Cricetulus griseus: one gene and its partner. The protein of the gene in region 1 purifies or fractionates together with the protein of each later gene. This does not show direct contact. Links are inferred from orthologs where the notes say so. Each region holds a gene or a part of one and is shown on either strand. Other genes may lie near its edges.

Region 1 (3,241 bases):
TTTTTTTTTTTTTGGTTTTTTGAGACAGGGTTTCTCTGTGTAGCTTTGGAGTCTGTCCTGGCACTCACTCTGGAGACCAGGCTGGCCTTGAACTCACAGAGATCCGCCTGCCTCTGCCTCCCGAGTGCTGGGATTTAAGGCGTGCACCACCAGCCTGGAACTTTTGATTCTCCTGTTTCACTGGTCCCAGCTCTCACCAGCTGTGTTATAGCTCTAGACCACCACACCTGTCTGTAAATATATTATTTTTCCCTTCCTTTTTATTACTATATCTCCAATTCCTTTTGTTTTGTTTTGTTTTTTGTTTTCAAGACAGGGTTTCTCTATCTAACAGCTCTGGTTGTCCTGGAACTGGCTCTGTAGACTAGGATGTCTCTGCCTCCACAGTGCACCGTGGCGATAATCATGACCGTCTAGGACTCCACATTCTCATGTATACCAACTACTTCAGCTCTATTCTGAGTGCTGGGATTAAAGGTGTTCACCACCAGTGCCGGATGTACTGGCTGTTTTTAAGCTGCTGTCTGATTCTCTAGTGACAGGAGATGCTTATTTGTGACCACTGTAACATAGCCTGAGTACTTCCCACACCTGATGTCATCTGGCAACACTTGGCCCCTTACCTTGGCGCTATACTGGTTGAGCTCACCACTCTCATGTCCTGCAATAATGCACTCCCCCAGGGGTCCCCAGACGGCACTGGTGATCTTGGAGTCATTGCAGGGGATCTTCATGTAGGGCTCATTGGTGTCTGTGTAGAGCAGCAGAGGTCAGGCCCTGGGATCTGAAGTCACACCACCCACCCCAGCGCCCCTAGTCCTAGCCCTCACCAATCTGGCTTGGATCCCGTAGATCGAAGAAGCTCACAGAACACTGGTACCCCATCTGCTTGTCTGTGGAGAGCATGATGATGTTACCCCCGAAGTCAAAGCCACAGGTTCGGACGGCTGAGTTGGTCTTCAGTAGGGCCAGCTGCTTCCCTGGGGAGAGGCGGGGTCTAGGTTACTCTGGTCTAATGTTATTGCACTCACCTACCGAGTCTCACAGCATTCCTGCCCTGAGGACGACAGGCTAAACTCCCTCCTACAGCATCTCCTCATGAACCAACCCTGAGAGTAACGTGTTCCCAGCTATGTCTCCCTCTCACACTGTTTCTCCTGCGTGTCCCAGCATAGAAGCAGACGTAATCACCCAGTAGCGAGAATAATATAATGGCCTCCCCTTGGCTGTCAGCTCTTCTACAGCTTGGACCTTGTTCAAACCCACCAGTCCACTATTCTTCCCTGTTCATCAGACTCCTCAGTGTGCCAAGTTTTTTTTTATTTTGTTGTTTTGAGACAGGGTTTCTCTGTGTAACTGTCCTGGCTGTCCTGTAACCCGCCTTGAACTCACAGAAATTCACCTGCCTCTGCCTCCTGAATGCTGGGATTAAAGGTGTGCGCCACCACCACTGCCGGGCAGTTTTGTATTTTAATTATTTTGTCGCCTGGGAATTTCACATATGTATATAATATACCCCGATTACTCTCCCTCTTGTCCCCATCACCACCACTATCAGTCCATTTCCCAGGTTCGTGACTTCTAGTTTTGTTTTGTGACCCCATTAGTTTAAGCAGGACCACCTGTATGACCATTGGAACCTGTTGAGATCAGGAGTGAAGGCAATGACTTCCCCGATCCCAGAATGTGAAATTAAGGTCTTCTCTTCCACACTCAAGGCTTTTCTGGCTCTAGCCTCCTGTTTCATCTACCCTACCCCCAAGCTACCTGAAACTTTCCATTCTCCTGCCTCAGCCTCCCAGTGCTGGGATAAGGTGTGTACCATCACACACGGCTCGTCCTAGCCTTTTATCGGACACTCCATGCTTTCATTCTTGCTTGTGACAAAGCACTTTGCTGTCAATGAAAGCCCCAGCTCCCACCTCCCAAGGCCACCCATTCCCCACTCAGGAGGTCCGCTGTCCCTCTGTGGCCTTCCTTGAACATAGCTCATTATCACTCCCAACCTTTATTTATTTTTCAAGTTGAATGGCTTATTATCTTAAACATGAAGCTTCTTTCCTCAGGTGACTTCCTGGCTGTTTTGTTTGAGGTCTCTGAATCTATAGACTGGAAACCATCTATCTCTAGTTCTCCAAAACATATTTAATTAGACAGGTACACTGAAGCTGGTCAATTCTTGTTGAAAAGTGGATAGCCCAGGCTTACCTGTTTCACAATCCCAGAGACGACAGCTGTTATCAGCTGAGCCAGTAAGGACATGCTTGGTGTCCCCTGAAGAAGGTGTTAAGAAACTTGGGCTCAAGAAATGGCACAGTGGGAGCCGGGCAGTGGTGGCGCACGCCTTTAATCCCAGCACTCAGGAGGCAGAGGCAGGTGGATCTCTGTGAGTTCGAGTCCAGCCTGGTCTACAAGAGCTAGTTCCAGGACAGCCTCCAAAGCCACAGGGAAACCTTGTCTCAAAAAACCAAAAAAAAAAAAAAAAAAAAAAAAGAAAAGAAAAGAAAAGAAAAGAAAAGAAATGGCATAGTGGTTAAGAGCACTGGCTATTCTCCCAGAGGTCCCAGGTTAGAGTCCCAACCCCCATATGGTGGCTCACAATTCCAGTTCCAGGGGTCAATGACCTTCTGGCCTCTGGGGGCACCAGACACCACACACACACAGACACAGACACACAGACACACAGTCATGCCATTTCTAGACACAGAATAAAATAAAAATGATTAGTGTTGGAGTGACAGTTCAGTGGGTAAAATGCTAGGTGTGGAACCAAGAGGACCTCAGTTTGAATCTCCAGCAGGAACAGGGTGTGCCTGCAAGCCCAGGACTGAGTAGTAAAGACAGGAAGTTCAGTGACTTGATGACCAAGTCTAGCTAATGAGTGAGCTCCAGACTCAGTGGTGAAAGGTTGTATCTGGTTTTTGTCTCAAAACAGATTGGCGGTAGTGGTATGTGCCTTTAACCCCAGCATTCAGGAGGCAGGAGCAGTCAGATCTCTGAGTTCAAGGCCAGCCTAGTCTACAGAGCAAGTCCCAGGACAGTCAGGACTACACAGTGAGATCCCAGGGTGGTGGGGTTGGAGGGACCAGAAAAAAATGGCTCAGGAGTTAAGATCACTTGTGTACTTGCTACTCTTTTAGAGGACCTAGGTTAGAGCCTCAGCACCTACATGGTGGCAGATATGCTGCACAGATGGAGCACAGACACACACACACAGGAAAAATACTCATATAAGTAAGAC
Region 2 (3,750 bases), on another chromosome or scaffold:
AACCCACTCTGGCCTGGAACTCACAGAAATCCTCCTGCCTCTGCCTCCCGAGTGCTGGGATTAAAGGTGTGCACCACCATCACCCGGCCGTTTCTTCCTACTTTTTTTTTTTTTTGGAGCCTATCCTGGAACTAGCTCTTGTAGGCCAGGCTGGTCTCGAACTCACAGAGATCCTCCTGCCTCTGCCTCCCCAGTGCTGGGACTAAAGGTGTGCGCCCCGCCGCTGCCGCCGCCACCACCACCACCACCACCACCACCACCTGGCCTACCCTGCAGGCTCGACTCCCATTTAATTCTTTGTGAGGGTTTTATTTTTGCATTTTACATCCCTGCTACTGATTGGTAGTGTCACTCCTCTATGACCCACCTTGTGGAGATTTTCTCTGTGGTCCAGGAGATGGTCTACTTTGTTCATATTTCTTATAGACTTGAAAAATCGGTCGTTGAATCATTAGTAACACTTGGGGTGTAACAGTTTCTGTTGTCTGTATGATATATAACAGACCCTAAGTACTAGCAACAACGAAATCAAAACATCAGGGTACAGTATGGTTTGCCACGGTGTGAGCATTGCATGACTCCCGAATAGTGAGTGAAGTCCATGCTCATTGCAAACATAAGGCGAAAAGTCACTTGGGAGCAGGGATTGCTTAACATGGCTTGCTGCACAACCGATGCAGTGGTTTGCAGACCTGATACCATGTAGGTCCCGCGTGTCACAGGCCAGCACGGTTTGCAGGGCATGTATTCTGAATGCTCACCATTGCATCAACGTGAACGCTCCAACGGCCCATAAAAGAACCCCTTTGGGGGCTGGAGAGATGGCTCAGAGGTTAAGAGCACTGGCTGCCCTTCCAGAGGTCTTGAGTTCAATTCCCAGCGACCACATGTTGGCTCCCAACCATCTGCAACGAGATCTGGTGCCCTCTAATGTTGTATACATAATAAATAAAATCTTTTTTTTTTTTTTTAAAGAACTCCTTTGGTATTTTACTCAAGCGAAGCATCGGTCCTGGAGACCGCAGCAAGGTTAAGCACGGTCTAAGTACTTTCCGTGCGTTCCCTGGGGTTAGAGACTGCACAATCTGAAACGTCACAAGGCCAGCGAGCGGCCCCAGGAGCTTGTCACTAGTTAGCAAGCGCTGTGGCTTGCCTCACGCCTCCTTGAAAGCTGGTGGGAGGAGTGGGAATTAAACTAGCAGCGGGAAGCACTTTTGCACCGGCCCCGCCGCCCGAGTGCGCGCTCTGTCGCTGCAGCGGCCGCGCGTTTAGCGGAGCGAGTGCAAGCGCACGCTGGCCCGGGAAGGATCCGGGCAGGCACGCAACGCGCATGCGCGGGGCTATCCCCGCCCTCAGGAAGCACGGGGAGGGGGCGTGGCCGCACCCTGGCCGCCCTTCCAGACCCAGACCCCCCCCCGTCCAGACGCCGTGGTTCCGCTTCCGGCGCCGCACGCTTCCCTCTCTTCCTGTCTGGCCGGGACCATGGCGTCGCGCAAGGAAGGCACCGGCCCCAGCGCCGCCTCGGCGGGCTCCGCGGGCTCCGCGGTGGGGAAGGGCAAAGGCAAAGGCGGCTCGGGGGACTCGGCCGTGAAGCAGGTGCAGATCGACGGCCTGGTGAGTGCGGGCGGCCCGGCTTCCGGCCGCTGTCCCCGCGAGGAGCAGCACCCTGGCCGGCGTCTGCACTGTGGCTCCAAAGGTTTCCACCGAGGGGGCCGGGGGCGAGCAGAGCCGGGGTGGGCGACACGTTGCATGCCCTGGAGAGCCGGTCCAAGCCGGTGACAGCTGCTGCGGCGAGCAGGAGGGTTCAGGGCCCTGCGAGGGGGAGAGAGAGAGAGAGAGACACCTCCGGAGGAGGCTTTATTTTAAACATTTATTTATTATGTATTATACAACATTCTGCTTCCCTCTATATCTGCACACCATCAGAGGGCACCAGATGTCGTTACAGATGGCTGGGAGCGACCGTGTGGGTGCTGGGAATCGAACTCAGGACCTCTGGAAGGGCAGCCGGTGCTCTGCACACCATTAAGGGCACCAGATGTCATTACAGATGGTTGTGAGCCGCCGTGTGGGTGCTGGGGATCGAACCCAGGACCTCTGGAAGGGCAGCCGGTGCTCTGCACACCATCAGAGGGCACCAGATGTCATTACAGATGGTTGGGAGCCGCCGTGTGGGTGCTGGGAATCGAACTCAGGACCTCTGGAAGGGCAGCCAGTGCTCTGCACACCATCAGAGGGCACCAGATGTCATTACAGATGGTTGGGAGCCGCCGTGTGGGTGCTGGGAATCGAACTCAGGACCTCTGGGAGGGCAGCCGGTGCTCTGCACACCATCAGAGGGCACCAGATGTCATTACAGATGGTTGTGAGCCGCCGTGTGGGTGCTGGGAATCGAACCCAGGACCTCTGGAAGGGCAGCCAGTGCTCTGCACACCATTAAGGGCACCAGATGTCATTACAGATGGTTGTGAGCCGCCGTGTGGGTGCTGGGGATCGAACCCAGGACCTCTGGAAGGGCAGCCGGTGCTCTGCACACCATCAGAGGGCACCAGATGTCATTACAGATGGTTGTGAGCCGCCGTGTGGGTGCTGGGAATCGAACTCAGGACCTCTGGAAGGGCAGCCAATGCTCCTAACACTCTGAGCCGTCTCTCCAGCCCTGTCACCCTCGCTTTGAGTAAGTAGTGCATCACTTCACCTGGGGCAGACCCTTAGGCAGTGCTCAGTCTGCACAGTAACAAGCCGCAGGGAATAAGCTTTTTAAGCTTTTAATAGGATATTTCTGGGTAAGGTTTATGCACCGGGGCATCTGGAAAGCTCGGGATAAGAAAACGCATGGGACGGAAGACGTGGGCATCTCAAATGATGTGGGTTTCCAAGCTTGAGGAGCATCCTCCAGCAGGTTGTGCTGGCACATGGCTTTACTTGGAGCACTGGTGAGGCGCAGGCCGCCTGGGTGAAAACCCTTTATGCTGGTGACTGGGTGTGAGCTTGTGAAACTGTCAGTCGTGGTTATGGTCGACTGTGATGTATCTGTGGACGCCAGAGTTTGCAGGATGCTCGGGAGAGCTCTGGAAAGGTTTATCTAATATTTAAATGTCCCCTGTATAAGGCAATGCTGTCTCCTTTGCTTCGCTTACAGTTTCAGCTTTCAGTGGCTTTTTTGAAGCAGGTGCCTTCAGGAATGAATACTACATTTTTAAAGATTGTCGGTTAGTTGGTGGGTGGTGGACTTGAATTGTAGAAGTACCAGCTAAACACTCCCGGAACGTGTTTTAAGTCTTAAGAACTAATGTTTTAGTGCACTTGCATATGCTTTGAAACCACTCTTTGGATTCCTTGGTTTCCAGAGTTGTAGAAGGCAACAGGTAGATATTATAAATCGGTAACTACAAATACATATTTTAGGACTTGGGCTGGGCTTGGTGGTACATACCTGTAATGCCAGCACCTGGGAGGGTGCAGCAGGATGCTAGGGAGTTGTTTGTCAGTCTGGGCTACATAGTGAGACTGTCAAAGAAGAGAAAGTAAAATACTTTCAGGGCAGTCTTGAAACTGCAGAGCTGTCATGGGACAGTGCCTTAAGAAATTTGAAGCAGCCGGGCGTTGGTGGTGCACGCCTTTAGTCCCAGCACTCGGGAGGCAGAGGCAGGCGGATCTCTGAGTTTGAGACCAGCCTGATCTCCAGATCGAGTGCCAGGATAGGCTCCAATGCTACACAGAGAAACCCTGTCTCGATTCCCCTCCCAC

The links. The genes of interacting proteins can lie anywhere in the genome.
Region 2: the proteins of Eif3i (region 1) and Eif3h purify together in Homo sapiens (affinity purification with mass spectrometry; 7 studies listed by BioGRID and IntAct, counting the BioPlex papers as one, with this or other methods). This does not show direct contact. The link is inferred for Cricetulus griseus from reciprocal best matches to the Homo sapiens genes EIF3I and EIF3H.

What each region holds. Positions count from the first base shown.
Region 1 is NC_048595.1:23,438,246-23,441,486, reverse strand, and holds part of Eif3i (eukaryotic translation initiation factor 3 subunit I), read right to left. Parts: intron 2,275-3,241; coding exon 2,209-2,274; intron 981-2,208; coding exon 831-980; intron 752-830; coding exon 624-751; intron 1-623. UniProt on the Homo sapiens protein: Component of the eukaryotic translation initiation factor 3 (eIF-3) complex, which is required for several steps in the initiation of protein synthesis.
Region 2 is NC_048603.1:3,232,922-3,236,671, forward strand, and holds the start of Eif3h (eukaryotic translation initiation factor 3 subunit H), read left to right. Parts: upstream 1-1,428; 5' UTR 1,429-1,482; coding exon 1,483-1,614; intron 1,615-3,750.